3 linked regions of the Alligator mississippiensis genome follow. The protein of the gene in region 2 interacts with the protein of the main gene of each other region in a biochemical or structural test. Links are inferred from orthologs where the notes say so. Each region holds a gene or a part of one and is shown on either strand. Other genes may lie near its edges. The genes, in order: EGLN3, SIAH2 and DLST.

The links.
Region 1: the proteins of SIAH2 (region 2) and EGLN3 form a complex in vitro, tested with the Homo sapiens proteins (2 studies listed by BioGRID). The link is inferred for Alligator mississippiensis from reciprocal best matches to the Homo sapiens genes SIAH2 and EGLN3.
Region 3: the proteins of SIAH2 (region 2) and DLST form a complex in vitro, tested with the Homo sapiens proteins (2 studies listed by BioGRID, with this or other methods). The link is inferred for Alligator mississippiensis from reciprocal best matches to the Homo sapiens genes SIAH2 and DLST.

The regions. Positions count from the first base shown.
Region 1 is NC_081825.1:255,771,352-255,779,327, forward strand, and holds the start of EGLN3 (prolyl hydroxylase EGLN3), read right to left. Parts: upstream 3,102-7,976; 5' UTR 3,057-3,101; coding exon 2,505-3,056; intron 1-2,504. UniProt on the Homo sapiens protein: Prolyl hydroxylase that mediates hydroxylation of proline residues in target proteins, such as PKM, TELO2, ATF4 and HIF1A. Target proteins are preferentially recognized via a LXXLAP motif.
Region 2 is NC_081830.1:62,023,487-62,030,392, reverse strand, and holds the start of SIAH2 (E3 ubiquitin-protein ligase SIAH2), read left to right. Parts: upstream 1-3,831; 5' UTR 3,832-4,030; coding exon 4,031-4,441; intron 4,442-6,906. UniProt on the Homo sapiens protein: E3 ubiquitin-protein ligase that mediates ubiquitination and subsequent proteasomal degradation of target proteins.
Region 3 is NC_081825.1:261,152,184-261,159,878, forward strand, and holds the start of DLST (dihydrolipoyllysine-residue succinyltransferase component of 2-oxoglutarate dehydrogenase complex, mitochondrial), read left to right. Parts: upstream 1-4,686; 5' UTR 4,687-4,709; coding exon 4,710-4,769; intron 4,770-7,695. UniProt on the Homo sapiens protein: Dihydrolipoamide succinyltransferase (E2) component of the 2-oxoglutarate dehydrogenase complex. The 2-oxoglutarate dehydrogenase complex catalyzes the overall conversion of 2-oxoglutarate to succinyl-CoA and CO(2).

The sequences.
Region 1 (7,976 bases), on a different chromosome or scaffold from region 2:
TAATTCAAATACCATACTCTTTCCTTTTAGTCCCCATACTAGTGTGTAGCTTTTCTTTGCACTGCTACTTTGAAGTCTGTCACCTTCCACACACAAGTGTTCAGTTACCACTACACAGCTACAGAAATCTGTTCATAGCAATATTTCCATAGCCACTTGTAAAATGTGATAATTTTACTAGATGAAGAAAAATCTAGAGTCAGCTATTATTGTTAACATGTGTTATTATAACAACAAGTATAACTCTCAAACATTGAAGGCTGTAGGAATACCACAGTTTGGTTTAACCCCCCCCCAACCTTCCACAGCCCAAGGTAAGTCCCAGAAGTCTGTTCCAGATCAATGCAACAAGCTACATCTAATGTAGGTGTTCTCCTTGTATGCAGTTAGGTGAATGTGATGACAATCTCCCCTGTGGGTGTCTGTCTCTTGCTTTAGTGCAAATCCCCTTTTTCTTCCTCCTAGTGGCCAACAAGGTACCACCATACCTACCCATACTAGCGAGGCAGGCACTTGGGAATATGTACAATAACTGACACTACAAGATGGCTCACGCACTGTGTCCCAAATCCATCCAGCTCTTCAGCTTAAAGGAATGATTCGCTCAATATAGGGTTAATGATTCAACAACTATTGACTTCTACTTGATTTGAGACTAACAGGGCTGGTCTCTTGACTAGTATTTGCCAACTTTTCAGGATATTCCCAAAAACCTGAGAAACAGCTAAGTCCCACCACAGCTAATATTTCATTCCCTCTCCCTCACTGCTGAGAAACATCATCATTCCCCACTCCCACATGCCCCGGTTAGTTTAAGATAATGCCAAAAGAAACAATTAATAAGGATTCATAAAAGTTCTCTTTACATACCCTGCTAACTGTTCAAGGTCTTTCCATCCCTCCTCTATCCCCTTTCCTAAAACCTGGAGGAAAACACTGAGATTAGAATAAAATTTGAAGTGCAACTGCCCCAAAGCTCTTGCCTGGTATTTTAAGAATCATGCAACTTTCAGTGCTCTAACAGTTACATCACAGAAAGAGGAAACATAAATGGAAACCTAGAAGAGAACGTATAATTCAGATTGTTTGCCAACCATGAAAATCGGATAAGAACTATGGGGAATTTTTCAACAATTAGTAACAGAGGGTAATGTCATTTCCATACAGGTGCAGAGGATAAAAGCAACATTTTCCAACTGACTGAACTAAAGGTCAGATAAATTGACTGGGAAATGAATTTCAAGTAGCAACTTTTTAACACATTCTTCACAAAGAAATTCTGGCATGCCCTTAAACAAGAGCAAAGTATCTTTCTTTTCATACTTCTAACGGCAAGGCTAACAGCTATTACAATATTCTTTAGTTCTGAAATAGTTGACATGAGGATGGAGACTGAAGCTCACTGGATTAATACTACCATATGAATGAAATGTTGCAAACAAAACCAAACATGTTTTAACAGTGGACAAGCACAAGTGGACATTGGTAACTCCCTCTTTCTACTCACCTTTACCAAACTGCTAAAAAACACCTGTGATAGCCAGCTGCGGACAAAGGGTTAAAATAAACAAGCAGCTCATACCAGAGTACTTTAGTCTATTATGATTAGTTCGTCAGCATTTACCTGCATTTTGCCAGCCCTTCCAGTGGAAGTATTAGAAGAAATACATTATTAGTCGACTTTATCTTAAATGACCACCATAAACTTGTAAGTGAATACAGCTTCCCCTTTGGATCAAATTGGGGAAAGTATTCATTCAGCTTATGACCCCCAAGCACAAAGAAGAATTTTTCCAACTATTTGAGCTGGTCTAATAAAATATATCAGATTTACCCAAAGATCCTTGTCTGCCTTCATCCAGGCTCAAGTCACTTCTCACTAGGAATTAGTTAATTAATTACTATGTACATTTGTTTATTTACTCAGCTGTGAAGTGGTCTCTGTGGGTACACACATGCATAAGTTTAGGATTAACCTCATCACTTCTTTATAAACAATATGAGCAGCCTGGGAGCCTGTCTTCCGATCATCTTCTAAACACCACTGCCCAAAAGACACGACATTGGGGAGGAAGAGAACAGTAACAGCTGTTGAGTGTCCTTTACTTTACAACTTTAAAAAAAATCTCCATTCATTCCTCTCTACAGCTTAACTTGGAACATGCTTCTCAATTTGCCCCGACTTCTGTGCTGCTGGGTTAAGCGAAGGATCCAGGAACTGTTTATAAACAATAACATACTCTACTCCTGCATCTGGCAGCAGATACATAAACTATGCTTCAAAGGCAAATGAAGCCTTTTTTGCTGCAGTAAGCACTGTCACCTGCTATGTCTTTTAAACAGATGAGTAAAAGGTAAATTGATGCCAAGTCCTGGGAGCAGTTTGGGGAGTTGAGAGGTGCCAGGTGTTAGGATATCAGGAACGTGCAACTCGGTGGTAGAACCCGTACAGACATGAAGCCCTTAGGAAACGACCCCAAATTCAACCACAGCAAGTCTCTTACCTTGGACCTCTCCTTGACATAGTAGTTGCCCAGCCTGGTGCCACAATACATCACCAGCCTGTCTATCAGGGACAGGAGGAAGTTGATGGCCTCGCACCCTTCCTCCGTGCCTCCGATCCACTTGATCTGGTCTCCCCTCAAGTGCCGCCTGGCGATGCCGTGTCTCTGGCCGGCCAGCTGCCCATCCTGCAGCTCCCCGCTGTAGTGCATCTGCTTCACGCGCTCCAGCACGCAGTCCCCCACCACCTCGCCCAGGAAATTGTCCAGGTAGCAGAAGCCGATGTCGTGCAGGCAGGGCACGATGTAGTCCAAGGCGATCTTCTCCAGGTCGGGGATGGGCAGCCCCCGGCACGCGTGCCACAGCAGGGCACGCGAGGCCATCTTGCCCGGCACGCGGGCGGCCGCGGAGCCGCCGGACCGATGCCGCCTCCGGCCCCGCCCCCGCCCCGGCCGCCCTCCCCGAGGCGCGCGTGGCCCGGGCTGCCGCAGTCTGCACGGAGCGGGCGGCGGGGAAGAGCCCTGAGGCGGCGCAGCGCCCGCCCCTCCCGCCATCTGCCCGGCTGCGCCCGCCCGGCACTAACCTGCTCCCGGGCGGGCCCCCGCGAACTAGAACCCGCAGAGGCGTGGGCGCCAGCCCCTTCCGGGGGCCGGGCTCGCAGTGGGCCGGGCTCCCCGGCTCCTCAGCCTCGGGGCTCGGCTGCGCGGGGAGGGCGGAGCCCGGCCCTCCACTGGAAGCAGATGTTGGGGTGGCTGTACCCCCCCCCCCCCCGGGGTCGGCGCGGCTGATCGCAGCCCGCCCGGGCTCTGGGCACCCGCAGCGAGCCGAGCAGCCCAGGGCCCGGCATCAGCTCCGTGCTGGAGGCAACGGCAGGCGCGCCGCGGGGCAGGGCAGGGCATGGCATGGCGGGGGCATCACAACCCTGTCGCCTCCGCCCAGAGGGCACGTGCAGCCGCGCGCCTGGCCGTGCCCGCGGTGCTGCTCGCGGCCGGGGGGCAGGGACCGGCGCGGCTCGGCTCGGCTCGGCTCTGCTCCTCCGCCGCTGCTGCATGAGGCCAGCACGTGCCTCCGGGCTACGCCCCTTGGTGGCGATTCCTGCTAAGATTTGAAGGTCGGGTATTATTTAGTTTATTTTGGTTTGTAAAATTATTTCAGATTCAGCTTTTGCTCTCTCTCTAACTAGTTTGTACCCTTCAGTTTACTTTGCTCTGTTAAATCGATTCCTGTTCAGCTTTTGCTCTCTCCATATTAACCAGTTCATGTTCAGCTGTTGCCCTTTCCACATTAATCAGTTTATTTTGCTCTGTTAAATCGATTCATATTCAGCTTTTGCTCACTCAGAACAGTTCATATTATTCAGCGTATGTTGCTCTTTTAAGTAATTTCTTATTCAGTTTGTCGTTCTCTTAAACCAGTTCATGTTTTTCAGGTTTTTTACTTTATTGAAACAGTTCCTGTTCAGTTATTTTGCTCTCTCTACTTTGCATTCCTAGATTTAAACACTTCATATTGCTCACTTCTTTGTGTGCTTTTCTGCTACTCTGCTTGTCGTCTTGGAAATACTTACCCAGATTTACACACCGTTCAAATTATTCAATTCTTTCTGATTTTCCTGCTTTCTGTTTACAATGTTTGTGCTGCCTTTGTTGGGTTTTTTTTTTGCCTTCCATGGTTATGTATCTATGTGCCTTCCAACTGTAAAATTTCCTGAAGTTCACACAAACCAAAGTTAGATATTCAAAAGTTTCATCTGGCTTGGAGAGAATTGTATGGTTTTGTGCAGCAAGGGGATTGTATTTGTAGTCTGTACAGCGGAAGTGTGGTATCTCATGCTTCCAGTGTCCTGCGCCATTTTGCAACCAAGCACAAAGCCAAATCTTCTGGAGTCAATGAAGCAGACGAACATGAATCCGTTAGAAAAGCGTTGATTCGTTTAAAAAGCAGACAGCCAGCTTTTCTAGTTGTGCAACTAGAAATACTTTCTCCACACAGGCAAGTTACATTGCAGCTCTAAATATAGCTCAGCAAGGCAAGAGTTTTACAGATGGAGAATACTTAAAGGATTCTTTCTTAAAATGTGCTGAGGATCTATTTCAGGATTTTTGCGAATAAGATGGACATGATTGCTCGTATTGATGAAATTCCATCGTCATCCAGGACTGTTCAAAGGCGAATAGATGAAATGGAAACTAACGTTAGGGAACAAATGACTCGAGACCTCCATGCTTGTGATGTGATGAGCCTTGCACTGGATGAAAACACAGACATAACAGGTATCCCCCCCACGTCTTGCTATAATTGTTCAATATTTTATCTCTGGGGAAGTTCACGAGGAATTGTTTTCTTTGAGTGCTATGCATAGCACTCAACAAAGATATACTTAATGCTGTCAAAGATATTTCACACAGCAACAAATTGACCTGCACAAAGTGTTCCCTGTTATCACTGATGGCGCACCTGCTATGGTGGGTAAAACAGCTGGATTTGTAAAGCTTCTGGAAACTGAGATTGGATGTCCTCTTATGAGTTTCCATTGTATTATTCATCAGGAGAGCCTGTGCAGTAAGATCTCATCTTCCGATTTCAATGAAATCATGACAACAGTTGTGAAAATTGTCAGCTTTTTGATTGCCTGCTGCTCTCTGACACACAGGAGATTTGTGTGAACTTTTAAATGATATGGATTCTGCATATGGAGATTTAGTGCTGCACAGTAATATACACTGGTTGAGTCAAGGCAACATGCTCAAGTGATTTGTTGCTGTCTCAAATCCTTCAAGCTGATTCTTGAGGAAAGTGGTCAGCAATATGCAGACCTTACTGATGACAGATGACTAACAAAACTGATGTTTTTGACAGATATCACATCACATTTAAATGATTTGAATACTAGGTTACAAGGAACACAGAAAACCATCCTTCAGCTGTCTGAAGACTGGAAAGCTTTCTGTAATAAGTTGCCTGTTTTCAGATGAGATATCGAACCATCTGCCTTCCGTTACTTCCCCAGTCTGAAAATCCATTCTGAGCAGCATCAACTGAATGATAGGGATATATGCAGCTACATAGGACATCTGGAAGATGAGTTCACATGACTATTCCAAGACTTGCAACAGAGGACCCATGTTTTCATTTCTTGTGAACCCAGACAGTACAAGGGAAAGTGATATATATATGTGGCAGAGCACAGGGTGTCTCTGCCACTTTAAGGGCCTGGAGCCGGCAGCCTCCAGGTGCCTAATTAGGGCAGCCATTTTGAGGCTTAGGCTGCTTATATAAACAAGGCAGTTTGGCTGCAGGAGGCAGGCAGCAACATCGCCTGGCTGAAGGGCTGCTGTGAACGACCTGGAGGTAAGGGGGGAGCTGCAAGGGGTTGGCAGGAGGCTCCTGGTCCTGGGCATGACCTGAAACTGCACCCTGCCAGGAGTGGGTGGCCTGGTGGGGCTCTCAGTGGCATGGGAGCCCCCAGGAAATGCCAGGCCAGTTATTACCCCGGTGAAAGGCGGGTCGGGGCGCCTTAACCCCTAGCTCCCACCACCACCGGGTGGGTTACCCATGTGTTTGTTGGAGGGCCCAGATGGGCCAGTGTTGTGAGGGGCCCGGAGAGGGCGGACCCCGAGAGTGGGAGTGATGTGGGCGTGGTGCTGCGGTTGCCCCCGAGAAGACGGAGTAGTGGCACGGTGAGGCCCAGTGACAGAGTGAGCGGCTAGAGAGACCCAGCCCAAAGGGGAGAGTACCCTCGACTGGCCCAAGCTGGGGCCAGGACTACGGTAGTCAAAGGGCCGGGGGCCCACCGCGAGGGATGCCCAAGAGCTGGGGGCCTGGGATCCCGACTGGCCTGGAGGTGGGCCAGGGTCAGCTAGCCAAAGGTTCCGGGGGAACCACACCCGAGAGGGGAACAAGGCTTCAGGGGGGACAAGGTAGCCCGGATGGGCTTCATCAGCGACTTGGACGTGGGAGTGAAATGTACTCTGTCCAAGTTTGCAGATGACACAAAGCTATGGGGAGAAGTGGACACGCCGGAGGGCAGGGAACAGCTGCAGGCAGACCTAGATAGGTTGGACAAGTGGGCAGAAAACAACGGGATGCAGTTCAACAAGGAGAAATGCAAAGTGCTGCACCTAGGGAGGAAAAATGCCCAGCACACCTACAGCCTAGGGAATGACCTGCTGGGTGGCACGGAAGTGGAAAGGGATCTTGGAGTCCTAGTGGACTCCAAGATGAACATGAGCCGGCAGTGTGACGAAGCCATCAGAAAAGCCAATGGCACTTTATCGTGCATCAGCAGATGCATGACAAATAGGTCCAGGGAGGTGATACTTCCCCTCTATAGGGCGTTGGTCAGACCGCAGTTGGAGTACTGCGTGCAATTCTGGGCGCCACACTTCAAGAAGGATGCGGATAACCTGGAGAGGGTACAGCGAAGGGCAACTCGTATGGTCAAGGGCCTGCAGACCAAGCCCTACGAGGAGAGACTAGAGAAACTGGACCTTTTCAGCCTCCGCAAGAGAAGGTTGAGAGGCGACCTTGTAGCTGCCTATAAGTTCATCACGGGGGCACAGAAGGGAATTGGTGAGGATTTATTCACCAAGGCGCCCCCGGGGGTTACAAGAAACAATGGCCACAAGCTAGTAGAGAGCAGATTTAGACTGGACATAAGGAAGAACTTCTTCACAGTTCGAGTGGCCAAGGTCTGGAACGGGTTCCCAAGGGAGGTGGTGCTCTCCCCTACCCTGGGGGTCTTCAAGAGGAGGTTAGACGAGTATCTAGCTGGGGTCGTCTAGACCCAGCACTCTTTCCTGCTTATGCAGGGGGTCGGACTTGATGATCTATTGAGGTCCCTTCCGACCCTAACATCTATGAATCTATGAATCTATGGATGACGGCGGAGTGGCTGCCTGATAGGAGAGGATCAGAGAGGGGTCCTGTTAGGATGATTCTGGGGCCCAGTATGGGGCCAGTGATTATAGTAACACCATGATGCCATCTGCGAGGCTTGGGCTGCAGTATTAGGGGAGGTCGGAGCCACAGAGCGCCCCGGCATCGGGGCACTACAATGGGCAGCCTCCTGCTTAATTGACATGGATATATGAATCAATTATCATCAAAGGCGTGGCGGGAGAGATAAGCGGGCGGTTGCCCAGAGACAGGTGGGTGGGCCACGAAGAGCTCGGCCCTGAGTAGGCCTCCTGTCACGGTGACAGGCAGGCAGGCAGGCCACAGAGTTCGGCCCCAGGAGGCCCCCTGTCACATATATATAGAACTGAAGTACTTTCAGTGGATGAACACTGAAGGATTTGAATTGGAACTGATTGACTTTCAAAGCTCATGCATCTGGGTATCGAAGTTCAAATTGCTGCAAGGTGAACTTGAGAATGAAAGGGACTGTCAACTCATGATTACAGCATGTTGGTCTTCCTTTCCTGAAAAGTATGCCTGCATGAGAAATGTAGCTTTTGCCTAGCAGTCTGTCT
Region 2 (6,906 bases):
TTTTCCTTTCAGTGCATTCAAATTGAACAGGGCTCTTTAGGGAAAAGATTCTTATTGACACAGTCAGGTACACAACTAATATTCTGGGTTCTGTCTACCTATTAACTTAAAAAAAAATCCTCTTATGGACCTTACCCTAGGACATTGCTACAAAACGTGGTATAAAATACAAGCTTTTATCACTAGGTATGATTAACTGTACATGATTTAATTAGTTACTGATATGCTAAAAAATAGTTGTAAAATTCTACATTTTCATTAGAAATGCATGACTCATGATTTTTTCCTCCTGTTTTTCCCTTTAACCCATAAATACTTTGCATGACTTCACAGGGCACAAAAGGACTCTGCAAATGTGACAGAAAAATAATGAACTCCCAACACTTGAAATTACTGTCACTTTCCCTTAAATGAAAGTTCTGCCCAGATAGAAACTTAATTAAGAATCTTGCTAGTGCTTAGAATCAAGGATGAGTCATGCAACTGCACATACCAGAGGAACCTTGCTAATTATATCATTGCACTGAAGTGCTGAGAAAAGACTGAACAGCATGTATCTGATACAGAAGCAAGTACAGACAGCCTCTAGAGTCTAGTTGCAGCAACTGATGGAAAACTAGTCTAAGTAAAACACCTTCATTGTGCTGGCAAGGTAATTTTCCAGTTATACTTCATGACTAACTGGTAGTTCTGATGGGTCACGCTGGACATGGGGTTTTCCACAACCCTTAATCGAAATGATTCAATCTTTAACCTCTGCATGTGGAAGGCTATGAGGACATCAATGCCTGATGAACATCGAATTGACATAAATAAGCATACTCAAGTAGGGCACTTTCCCCACTACAAGGAAATATCTTCCTACTTTTTTGCTGCATTTCGTTAACATTGAAAGAAAAGCTGTGAGATTTTTCTTCCAAAAGCAAAGGTTCTCCACCTGTGTAATGCTGTTAAGACAGAAAAGCCTTCAACCACATTAAATTTGATTTTCAAACTTCACTTAGCTTGGACAATGAAAGCAGCCTAATCAATTCCACTTGCTCAGTCTCATACACTAACACACCACCACAGTTTTCACATGTGGTGCAAACCCTACAGGAAAGGGGGGGAAACCAACCCAAGCCACCAACCCCAGCAATTTTTATCGCCAACTCTACAGGAGACCTTGGCCATTCGCTGGGGATATGTTCTGGAGATCCCCGCAAATGGCGAAATCCATGAATACTGACGAGGCTCCCTGTCGGACCCCACAGCCACCCCCTGCTCCCCCCCACATTGTTCACGGGGCTCCCCCGCAGTGCCTGGGGACCAACCCCTTCCCCCCGAGCACTGCCGTGGCTGCTCTGCACAGCAGCAGTGGCAGAAAAGATGCCACCATCGCCACCTCCCTCCCTGTCCCCGGGGCTCCCCCACAGCACCTGGAGACCGACCCCTTCTCCGCCCAAGTGCCATCACGGCTGACTCCAGGAGAGAACATGCCACTGCTACCACCACCACCACTACCTCCTCCTTCCAAACCCTTGGCGCTTGTTCTCTGCCCGCCTCCCAGCTCTGCCCTCCCCCGTGAATATTTGAATAGTGAAGTTCGCGAATAGCGAGGGTTTCCTGTATATAGATGTTATGAAACTAACTTTGAAACAATATGGAGATGCAGGCCCATGTCCTGCAAGGGTATCAAACTCATGGGTTTAGACCCAAAGTTTATCTTTGCCCACGATTACAACACAACTATACTTACTTGCTCTGGGTTGCTCCCTCAACCAACATATTCTTCTTCATTCACACATACTGGTAGTTTTTGCAATATCTACCGCTGCGCACTGCTGTTGAATAGTTTGTTCCTACAAACTGTTCAACTTAAGCCTCCAAAGACACAGATAAAAACGACAACAATGCACACTGCCAATGTCCTTTACCAATGGCCTCGAATGTTCCATCCCTTCTGAATGCTCATAACAGCTGACATTATGAAGCCATTTGCATTCTGCTATACTGCACTGAATACTTTTTTCCCAACCTGCCAGAAACAACAGCTATTGAGCACAAGCCCTGTTGGTTCTCAGCTGATGTACTACACAACCAACAAGCCTGCAGAATGGGAAGATTTTAAGGTGGCTCTTCTTTCTCTAACCCAGTGGTTCTCATCCAGGGTGTTGCACTGTGGCTGCAGCCAGGTAAGACTACCCTGGTGCACACTCCTGCTGCTTTCTGATCAGCCTAAAGTAGGCAGGAGCTAGCTCATCTTAGCCTTTCCTGGGCAGGCCCCTCCTACACTCCCCCAAGAGACAGGGGTTTACAGGACAGTTCCACTAAAGTACCCGTTTCTGGCAGGAGCAGGGGAAGGGGCAGGTGAACCAGGAAGGGCTACACAGCATGAGGTGGCTCCTGCCTGCTTTAGGCTGATCAAAAGTCCTACTGCATGAGGAATATGTATACATGCCACAGCTCTTCCTGGGCTGGCTGATAAGCAGGTGCCTGACAGTTTTATCACAGGCAGCAATACCCAGTCAAGTCAAGAAACACTGAAGTGAAGTGAGGAAGCACCAACAGTTCTCAATAGGAGATGCTGCCAATTCATAGAAGTGGTGGAGGGGGAGCCCTGATCCTGAAAAGATTGAGAGCCACTGCTCTAAGCTGTACTTCATCAACGACTGGCCTGAAATTAGTGTAGCTGCATTGGTCAAATTAGACAGCGGTAAGCATGTGTTTGCAGCTGCTGAAATAATGAGATCAGGGCTTTAACTGATGAACATAGCAATCATGACACAATCTAGAAATATCAGCAAAAGTCCATTTCTGAAAATAAATCAGGAGCATTTAATCTTTCTAAGCGCTGCTATTAAGTGCTTGTAGGTCTTCACCAGAAGTTGTAGGAAAATAGTAGTTTATAGGTCTGAGCACACTCAGAAGTCACTACAGGGTCCTTTTGGCCCACTGTCATGAAAGACAAGGCTTCCTTTGAAAGAATATTATGCAGCACAGAGCACATGGGGCTGGTTCAGCAACAGAGCTCATTGGCTCATAAGCTGAATCCAGCGTTGGGGCCTTATGTTTGGCACCCCGGTATAAACCAAATGCTGACCAATATCATTACAGTTTTCTTTAAATGCAGACTGGGTGATATTAGTGTCCATGGTTCGTGTGTGCTTGCTGGTCGGACAGAGTCCGAAAGAAGGAAAAGGATCAAAATCCCAGCCGGCATCCTACTTCCCCTGCAGAAAGACCCGCAACTTCTGTGGACCGATCTGTGGCTCGAGGACTGGACTGAAGTCACCTCAAGACCCATCAATGAGCCACGGTAGAGATCATCCTTGAAAGGAGAGACAATTGACAGCGACGGCGATCGGGAAGAACGAGGCGCAGTCCAGCTTCCTCCTTACGTTTAGACCAAAAAAAAAATCAAACTAGCCAGAGAATACTGACTTTCTCGTGCTTTCACCCGAACTCTACAAACGCATCAGATAAAGTCAACAATCTCCACTCACTGCCTCCCGGGACGGGGGAGGGAGCCGGGCAGGGCCAAAGGAAGAGGGCAAATCCTGCGTCCGTGCCGGGGCCCTGGCTGGATGCCCCATCCGGCCTGAATGGGCGGGAGGCGGGCCGTGGAGCGGGCGGGCGGGAGGCGGACGCCCGGATGAGGTGCGCGGCTGCGCAGGGCTCCAGGCACCCGGGGCCAGGCACTGCTGCCCGCACGCCCGGCGCCGCCTCCCGCCGGCCACGTTGGTCCGGGGCGGCGCCAGGGAGGTCCCCGCGCACGTCAGTGCCCGCCCCGCCCCGCCCCGGCCGCCCGCCCGCGGCGCCGCCCCCGCTCCCCGCTCCCCGCGCGGCGCGGCCTGGCCGGGGCATGCTCAGTAGCCGGCGGGAGCCGCGGGCGCGGGGGAGGCGGCGCTGACGCGGCGGCCCCCTCGTCTCTCCCGCGCCGGGCCGGTGCTGCGGGAGGCCGAGCGCCGCCCGGGGCCCGACCCCCGACCCGGGGTGGCGCTGCGTGGCGCGCCCGCTGCCCGCACGTCCATGGTTTGCTCGGACCGCGATGAGCCGCCCGTCCTCCGCCGGACCCAGCGCTAGCAAAGCCTGCGGCAAGCAGCAGCAGCACGCGCCGTCCCCGGCTGCTGCCCCCGCCGCCGCCGCCACCATCTCGGCCGCCGGCCCCGGCTCGTCTGCGGTGCCCGCCGCGGCCGCGGTGATTGCAGGGCCCGGAGGCGGCGGCGGCGGCGGGGGGCCGGTGTCGCCTCAGCACCACGAGCTGACTTCGCTGTTCGAGTGCCCCGTGTGCTTCGACTATGTGCTGCCCCCCATCCTGCAGTGCCAGGCGGGGCACCTGGTGTGCAACCAATGCCGACAGAAACTGAGCTGCTGCCCCACGTGCAGGGGGTCCCTGACCCCGAGCATCAGGAACCTGGCCATGGAGAAAGTGGCCTCGGCGGTTCTCTTCCCTTGCAAGGTAAGAGCGCCCGGCCCGCGCCTCCCGCTGCAGCACCGCGCCCCAAGGGGCCCCGGCTCCTTGCCCTGCCCTGCCCTGCCCGCCCCGCCCGGCCTCGCCGTGGTTGCAGACTTGCCGAGGCGCGAGCAAGGAGTTTCACTTCCCCTTTCCAGGCTGTAGTGAGCGGAAACATCCTCCACCCCGTCCCAGCCGGGTCACCGGGGGCTCCTGGACCTTGGCCAGGCGCGTGTGTGGCTTCTGTGCAAATACCAGCCCCCCTCGGTCCGCGGAAGCCAAGAAGCTCCTCATTTCTCCTGGAGCGAGTGGGTCCCAAGGACAACACAGTGGGGTGCTTCCCCCCTCCCACCTGGGCAGCAGAGTGCGGCCTGTTGCGGGGAGCACAGTTCCTCCCCGGGGAGAAGGGGTAGGGAGCAGGAAAAGAAACAGGCCGAAGAAGCAGGAACGTGCATCTCCTTGAGCAGGTCTCAAAAGATCTCCCTGCTTTGCCTCTTTGCAGACATGTTCACAGCTTAGTACAGCAGTCTTGCCCTAAGCCTGTTTCACAGCTGTGTCACAAGCTGACATTATGTCTAATTCTGTAATTCAGGCATTTAAGAGGGAGTTGACTGTTGAATCATTGCACGAGCACTGGATTTCTAAAAATGATATTGCATAAGTGGGTAGAGCCCCATTTCATGGTCTGACCTATTCTACAGCATTGTTTTTTGGGCTGGGCCTTGTTTTTGTAGGGCAAATTCCATTCTCTAAGTAACTGTGAAGGAGGAGCTGTGGTTTACCCAACTTGGTATTTTAGCTTGGTCACTAAAGAGGTTGTGAAGATTTTAAAAATATCGCACTCTTACTGACCACTTTTGGCCTATTTAACATTATTATATAGAGAGAAGTGTCATGATTAGTTTACTTACATCTGTGCATCTAGTCAGTTTCACTCCCCCCCCCTTCTAATTCCTGTGGGTTCTTCACACAGGAAAAAGGGGGCCAGAAAAACGCACTGAAAAAGGAAGTGTAACAGAGCTGCAGTTTGAGGGGTACTTGCTTCTTAAACTGACCTTATTTCATGGTATCCTGTAAAGTAAAGGTTTAATCCCTGCTCCTGCCATGGCAAACCACAAAGCATATTTACAAAGTAAGGTTAAACTTAAGTTCAAGGAAAGATAAAACTCTTAAGAGATTTTTTTTTTTTTTATTTCAGTAAGAGAGCATATTGTAAAGATCTATTTAAAAGATCTCTTTAGTGAAATATGCATTCATGACATATCCAACAGATTCTAGCTACACCTATCAGAGCTTTGATTTTCCAGACAAGTCCAGGTCCTACAGTTACTGTGCTAGCATGGGCTTCATGTCAAGTGAGATTCCCAGGGAACTAGCACACATGTCACTTATGTATCTACTTTCAGGATTGGGACAGGAGATCACATAACAAAAGCAACAGACTTTGTGCCATTGTGAGGAGGATTTGATAGCCTGCCCCAGAGGCTGGACTAAAGTTGAGTGAAAAACGTATTTTCCTTCTGGCTCAGAAAAAGTGACAGGAGGCCCTACTGCCCTCTTCATTTCCACCATCTGTGCCTTTGTGCACGTGTCCCAGGCTTTCCAGCTAGCAGCATTTTTGCTCGTTCTGTTACTTTCCAGGCTGAGGCTTGTCCTTGAAATTCCAGCCTTTTTTGTATTTTCAGAATAGTGGCTTTCATGCCCTACCTATATCAATGTTTGTACTTTAAGTTGTAAGGTCACATGACACTGCCACAGCCAGCAACAAAACTCCAGCAGTAACATCTGCCTGTCGTGCATTACAGTTGAAAGTGTTCTTTGTTTTAAGGATCTGTTTTAATTGCTTTATTCTAACATAACTTGGCACTGTAGTTCCAACAAGGATTTGACATTTTACGGTGTATAAATATGCACATGGGTGCATGTACATGCATGCCCCTATAATTGCGTCTCATTTTCTAAAGCTTGTTCACCACAAACAGGACATTTCCTAAATTTGGAATAAAATCTAACAAGTCTAAACAAAACGTATTTCCTGTATCAACTCTGTCCTCGTTCTCCTCACCCCCAAGGCCTGGGTGCTCTTTTAGGCAAGGACCTGGGAAGCAAGGTACATAAATAGGATTCCTTCCTTCAGCATCAGCAGGAAGTCAACCATACGTCTCCAAGTCACATTTCAGCTCTGTGCACAGCTTGGTGTAGAACCCAAGGTGGAATCGCTGATGACAGGGTCTGGACAGAGTATCTGCAGAACATTAAGATTTTATAGCATAAAAAAAAAAAAATTGCTTTTTGAGCACAAAATATTTTTCAGGGCTGAGGTCCTGTGAGTGACTTGGAAAAAAGACTGCTAGCCATTAAGCCGGATCTTATCAGCTAGGAAAGGAATGATGCAGAACAAGGTGTGTGACACTTCAACCAGTTGCATTTTTCAGCCATCCAAAAGGTATAACAGATGTTACTATTGCGGA
Region 3 (7,695 bases), on a different chromosome or scaffold from region 2:
CCCCATAAACTTCTCCAGCCTAATCCTCCTCAGAAAAACCAGGTTCTGCAAAACCTTGCTATCAAGAGATCCCCCCGACTTCTAGATTTCCCAGTTTCCAGTGAACAGCCAGAGCAGGCCTGGTGCCCCACAGAGACGGCAAGGTTCTTTGGGTAGATGTGATATCTTTTATTAGACCAACTCAGTAGATGGGGAAAAGTTCTTTGCAAGCTTTTGGGTGCAATCACCCCTCTTCAGGCATAGGAAGTCTCTGCTGTTCTGAGACTCCAGGGAATGTTTCTTTCATTCCTTGGAGTTTCAGAACAGCAGAGACTTCCTCTGCTTGAAGAATAGCAATTGTGCCTGAAAGCTTGCAAAGAACTTTTTCCCCTCAGCTACTCAGTTGGTCTAATAAAAGATATCACATCTACCCAAAGAGCCTTGCCTGCCTATGTCCTTAGACCAACCCGGCTACAACCAAAAACCCAGCCACAAAGACGGTGCACTTACCTTAGCTACAGCAGGAATGCAGCTGTCCGCAGAGTACCTTGTGTTCCCAGGGTTTTTTGGAGAGAAAGTGCTGAGTGGGAAGGGGCACTGAAGCAGTCACGCTGGCATTGAAGACTCTATCTGAGCTCAGTCCCTACTAGAATGGGGTGGGGAAGCCAGTAGCAGCCAACCAGCTTCAAGGTACTTCTGAATATGCAGATGGAGAAGGGTCAGGTTCAGTAATAGGGATCAGGGCACCTTCCATTCTGCTGCTGGGATGCTCAGATACACAGACCACTCAACAAGCTCAGAGGGTCTGTAAATGGCAACACTGCTAACCACGCAGGGTTGTGTGTACCGATAGAATAATTTTGCGTATAACCTTCTGGGTTCTATCTTGTTGCACATCAGGAGAGAAGTTTTTGGGGGGAGGAATAATTTTCATATTCCATGTCAAATTAGCCAAATCAGTTCCAAATCCTCTTGACTGAGCAACTCTCAATCATTTGAACACTATATGTGGTGCTACAACTGACAAGTATCCTCCACCCCCGACTTTTCAGCCTCGGGCTTCAGATACTCCTAAATCCATTGATGGGCATCCTATGTACAGGCCCAAGCCCAGAAGCTTGGGGTTTGGATGCCACAGAGTCCCACTTGTCCTTAACCAAATAGCACAGAAGCAAGCTAGAGAGGAGTCCCCCATTTCCATAAAGTAGGTGTGCAGCCAAGATCCTCCCACTGGAAGCTGGCCAGCAGGAATCTATTTACAAGACTCTTGTAGGGCATCCTGTCCACAGTGCATTGAACAGGCATGCACCCTCCATTACACAATGCCATTTAAATCCATGTTGGTTTGGGTAACTAACCAGTGCAGCGACTACACTTGATCTTAGCCCACAAGAGGTTGAGAAGCAATCAGGAGAGAGATGCGTTGGCTGGGATGTGTTAGGGGTGGTGAGGATTGGAACAGCAGGACGTAAGGCAGAACTGACTTGTAGGAGACTGTGAAGCTGGGCAGGGGAAGTGAGTTAATGCCAAATGGTAAAGGACCGCAGTTACTGTAAAGCAGGGCCCAGTAGCACTTTGTTCTATTCAGGACTTGGAATCTGAACCTAGTCTGGAAATGTACTGTCCCACCATCCATGATGGATCCACCAGTGCTAGAAGCAAGTAGGGCCTCTTTGCAGCTAGTAAAAATGGTGCTGGAAGGGGAAGCTGAAGGATACAGACATTGTAGACAGCCCCAAAGCAGTGGTTTTCAAACAGAGGGGCTCAGTTTAATAAGAGTCACAATTTTGTTTGAGCCCCCCTCCACCCCAACCCAGACAAAAACAGACATGCAAAATATGCTTTCATAAACTTAACAAACACAACTTAACTTACTTAATTAAATTACCTACACCTGTAGGTTTCTAGTTCACAGATTGAAATTGATATTCACAGATATTATACTTAACGACTTTAGCCGTTTCAGCTTCTGCCTTCCGTTTCGTAACAGTATCTTTTGGCAATAAGTACCGATCCAGTTTCACCTCAATAGTATGAAAATATCGAACTCACCGGCAGAATAAGTTGCACTGCAAAATGCTTGTTGTGATTTTTTTGTCTTGTAAGAGTAGATATGATAGGTGTACTAAACTGGAAGGTGGGAAATGTTGCTATGGAAATGATCACTGGTTTAATTAAATGCATTGTAACACCTGTGAAATCAGTTGCAAAAAGTTCACTCATACTATTTCAGTGTGTGATGTTGTCAAATATAATACTAATAATGATGATAATAATTTTTAAAAGTAAAATATGCCTTGCACATGGTGCCCCCCACATTCCTTTGCGCCCCCCCTCCCCGCCCCCAGACAGCATGCCCCCCAGTTTAAAAACCGCCGCCTTAAGGAACACAGCATAGGTTACCAGTGGTTTCTAATGTGTTGATGATGAAGGTTTCTTTTCTTCACTGCAGCTAGATCTTTGAGGTGTATGTGCAGTATTGCTAACTCTCATGATTTTTGCCAGTGTTCTTAAAGTATATGCTTTGGGAATGTGAAGAACTTAGCTTTCTTTTATATATAAAAGCTCTTTCTTTTATATATGTGTGTGTGTGTATATATATATATATATATATATATACACACACATACACACACACACACACAATATATATATATATATATATATATATATATATATATAATATAAAAGAAGGAGCTAAGTTTTTCACATTCCCATAGCGTAGACTTTAAGAATGACAAAAATCATGAGAGGTGGCAACACTGTATGACACACCTAGAAAAGGAACATCATCTAAATAATAATACTTAGTATTGTATGTTTTCAGATGTAAACTCTAGCCATTAGAGTAGGGGCGGGCAATTATTTTGGGCGGAGGGACACTTACTGAGTTTTGGCAAGCCATCGAGGGCTGCATGTCAGGCAGCCAGGGGCAGATAAATATTAATTTTCTAAATTTTTTAGGGGCCCTGCGGGCTGGATAGAACGACCTGGCAGGCCATATCTGGCCCGTGGGCCGCATTTTGCCCACCCCTGCATTAGAGCCAGCTGTTCAGCATAGCTGATAGGTAAGTGTTCTCCCCTCAGCACTGGACAAGTCCCTAATATATAAACTGTGAGAAATAATCTGCCTGACCAGAGGAACAGACTCCAAAGAGTAACCCAAGTCTCTCACATATCTCATTCAAAAAAGCCTGTTGGATTTGTTACCTGCTACCTGCTGAACAGTTTGAACAAGGAGCCAGACAAAATACAATGGCTCATGCAGTTTTATTTGAGCTCAACTGAATTAAATCTCTCAGTAAAACTCTTATCTCATTCATTTGTATCCAGGTACTTTACAATTGCTATGATATGCATTCTTCCTACTAGGCAGCAGTCTTCGATTCAAGGCAGCTGGTTTCTATTTGTTGTGCTCAAGGAGAGCAGCATACTAGAGATGCACTGCTCCAAAAGCTGTATCAGTTCCATTTGTTTTTATTCCTTTTTAGTTCTTTTTTACACACCAAACAGGTTTCAAAGGTTCCACCTCCTCCTTTTGCTTTCTTCTCCCTTTCCTGTACTCCTTCCTCGAGGAAATTCTTTACAAAACGACATTAAGTTAGTAGTGCCATTACACCATTGAGCACTTAAAAAAAGTAGGAAATGCTCAAGATAACGCAGCACCCAGTTCTAACTCTTGTTCCCTTCTGCAGATGCCTAATTCTAATACAGCCCTTTATGATGTGAACAGAGGCTCTGTCTCAACTCATGCAACATCATGTACACTGAAAGCAACAGGGCATCTCACAGCGTAGCCTGCACAGGAGCACAGCATTCAGCCAGAGCCATGGTCAGGTGAGAGAATCCCACCCTTCCCTCTGCATAAAGGTGGGAGCTTGCTGCACATTTCTTTTCCCTCTGCAGCTGTGTGGAGGGCCTGCCCTGTGGCCTGGTGGCGTCCCAGTGTCCGTCACAGCCACGCTGGAACTCCAGCCTCATGGCGGGAACATCGCTGGGGTGAGCTAGCCCTAGGGCAGTGTTGGCAGGTGGGAGCCAAGCGTTGCTAGCTCCCTGGAGGCAGCCTGCTGGGGGAACCCAGGCACTAGTGCTCTAGGGAGGGGCGTGGGACCCCCAGTCTCTGGCTACAGCCCCAGATCTGGGAGCCAGGACTCAGGGGCCTCCTGTCCACTGGGAAGCCAGGGCACAGCCTGGCTAGGGAGTGCAGCCTCCTGCCCTGTGCTGCCAGATCTCCACATCACCTCTGCTGGTGTCTGCACTGCCACCACTGCTGCCAGGCCCATCCCTGCTCACCCTGGGCTCCCCAGCTCCCGTGGGCAGCATCAAGCTCCTCAAGTCAGGTGCCCATGGGCTAATTCACAACCTGCCCCTGCCCTGCATGGCTGAAGGTTGCCTGGGGCAGGGACCGGCAGCCAGTACCAAGACGCCTGGCGGGGGAGAGGGAGCGCAAGCCAGATAACATCAAGGCCCCCCTGTCCTGCTCAGAGTGGTCCAGTCCTCAGCAGGCCCACCGGGGCTCGCAGCCGCCCTTCAAGGTGGTTGAGTCCTCTTTCTCCTCCTCCCGGTGGTTTTGTCCCGTCAGGACGTTTCGGTTTCTCACCCTCCCCCATGTTTGGTACGACCCTCCCGGCTCCCCCTGCGCTGAAGGGTGCTTGGTTCGGTCCGCTCCGTTTCCGGCCTGCCCGGGGCCTGTTTCCGGTGTTCGCCTTCACGTCGCCGCCGCCGCCGCGATGTTGCCGCTGCTGTCCCGGTCCCGCTGTCTGAGCCGGGCGCTCAATGCCCTGCGGCAGGTACGGGCGGGACGAGCCGAGCCGAGCCAAGCCACGCCACGGCACGGCACGGCACGGCACGGCATAGTCCTGTCAAGGGCACTGGGGTGGGGGCGGTGCCGCCACCAGAGACCCTCGGGTGGGCGGGAGGGACACAGCGCCCCGCCCCACCTCGCAAGGGCTCCTGCCGCCCTGGCACGTAGCGCTTCCCCGTAGCGGGGGGCAGGAGGGCCGGGACTGGGACTGGGCCTGAGGACGGGAGGAGCCGCCCGGGCGGCCGGGGCCGGGTCGGGGTCCTGAGGCCTGGTCGCGGCCTCGCCGCACCTGTGTTGGTAGCCGGCAGCGGGTCGGGTTGTCCGCCGGGTCCGTGTTCAGCACAACGCGGCTGCGCTGGGCACTGGCGCGACACGAGGAGCCGCAGCGCGCGCTCGGGCGTTGGACCGGCCTCGGCTTGTGCGGCCTGGCCCGGCACCGGGTTGGAAGAACAGGCGGGAGCTAGAAGGGGCCGGAGGCAGCGGAGCCGGGTGGGCAGGGGAAGCTCCTGCTGCACCTCCGCCCAGAAAAAAGTTGTGTTTAAAGTTTTCCCGGCCTGGAGCAGTGCAAAGGCTAGTTCTCGTTGTACTGGACTCACTCCCTGCTGCACTGCCAGCTGCGCTGGCAGCTGCTGGAGCAGCAGCATCCTGTTTCTCAAGATTTTTAGAGCTAGTTGATCTTGACCTGTCAATTACTTGGTGCCCACAGCTTGGCAAAGGGGCTGTTTTACTGTCTGCTCATCTCCCAACATTTTTTTTCCAATTCAAAACGAGCTAGTCCTTGAATTGACTTTGCTTGGGAACGAAAGCATTCTCTGCACCTGCAGAAGCAGCTCTTGCTGTCAAACTGGTTTATTTAACAGACTCCACCTCCACCTGCTTCAGCAGTGATTTCCACCCAGTCCTTGGTTTCTTGGTGCAACTTCAGTAGTCGCCATGTGCTATTCAGATGTTTTAAGCAACTTAAATTCTTTTAATAGATAAACATAAGTGTAGGCCTTAATATGTGGGTGGTCACAACTTGCAAAATTAATTTCAGACAGGCTTATATTTTAAAAATATTAAAATCAAAGAGTTTCTTAAGTATCTTTTTATTGGTATGCACCCTTCAGAGTGGTGGGTAGGACCCCAGGTAGAGAAGTGAAAACCAGAAGAACAAGCATAAAGTATTTTTACTGTACATAAAATGAGACTGTAAGTCAGTTGATTACATGCAGGGAGATGCATTGGGCTAGGAAGATAATTTTGGTTGTCATGTTGAATATAACAGAATGGGAAGAGACAGGCAGGTAGGGAGTTCAAGGAGAGGTGGTCACAGATAGGGTGACCATGATAATTTTATGGACAGGGTAAGGAAGTCTGGGATAGGGGGTGTAACCCCCCCCCCCCCACTTCAGCCTCAAGGCTCCCAGGAGCAGGGCTGGGCAGGATGGTGTGGAAGCCCACCTTTGGCCTTTATCCCCTTCTTGCAGAGGCTGGACCCAGCTGGGGGCACCCCCTGGGCTCCATAAGCCCATGCTGCGCAGCTGCACAATGCCTCCCAGCAGGCTGGGGCTGCAATCCCAGGACAGAGCCCAGAGCCATCCCCCCGCCCCCCAAACATGGGTCCCCAGCAGCCGGGAGGGCAGAGGGACCCCTCAGAAGCCCCCGCCTTCACCTGGAAGGCTGCTCCCTAGTCCTGAATCCATTGAGCTGCAAGCCATGAGTCTTTTGCCAAGTAGAGTCGGTCAGAAGCTGGGCACATGCGGGTGGGTTCACACCAGTCTGGGAGTTTTGCTTCAGTTTTCTCTAGAGAGCCCAGCCAGTGAGCTGCTCCGTAGTCTGAACTCTGCTGGGCTGTGAGCAGTCTTTTGCTCAATCAATAATCAATCAGGAGCTGGGCACATGCAAGCAGGTTCCTGCCAATCTAGGACTTTCACTTCAATTTTCTCCAACCCAGGACAACCTATGAAATCTGGGACTGTCCCAACCAATCCAGGATGTATGGTAACCCTAGTCATAGAGGTCTAGACAAGAGAATTGGAACATGGATGATGAGTTTTGAGAGTGGGGAAGAAGTATGATAAGTGAGGATATTTCTGGAGGTGGTTGAGAAAGAAATACCGGGATGTGAAAACAGGTCAAGCATGTGAACTTCAGAGTTGTGGCTTTGGGCAGCTGGGAGGGTAGCAAAGTCAGCAGGAATGGAGAAAGGGGGAAGCTTGGGTTTTGACACTCGCATGGTCAAGAGGTAGCGGGGCAGGCGCTACGAAGATTGGCTAAAGGGCCTGAACCTATTCAGCCTCCACAGGAGAAGGCTGAGGGGGGATCTGGTGGCTGTTTACAAACTCACCAGGGGGGACCAGTGGAAACTGGGGGAGGCTCTGTTCCCCCAGGCACTACTGGGGGTTACTAGGAATAACAGCCACAAATTGCTAGAGCAAATTGTTCAGGCTGGACATCAGGAGACATTACTTTACAGTTAGGGCTGCCAGGATCTGGAATGGACTCCCAGGTGAGGTAGTGCTCTGTCCTACCTTGGAGGTCTTCAAGAGGAGGCTGGACAGATATTTGGCTGGGGTGATGTGATCCTGGCACCCGTTCCTGCCCAGGGCAGGGGTTTGGACCTGATGATCTGTTTAGGTCCCTTCCAACCCTAAATACTATGATACTATGATGCTATGACATATATGAAGAAGAGAATTAAAACTCAAGAACTCTGTCCTGGAGGAAGAGAGTTGTGAGTCATCAAACTAGGAATCATGGGAGAGCATCAGTGGTGAGTGTGTGGGCAGAAGAGGACAGGACTGACATTTGCGATTTGGACTAGGAGAGGCAACCACTGAGGAAGTGGTTGCACAGGTAGGACTTCAGAAGTCTGCAGACAAGATGCTCTTCAAAAGGGGCATGTAGTTGACAGCAGGAGGATGACAGTG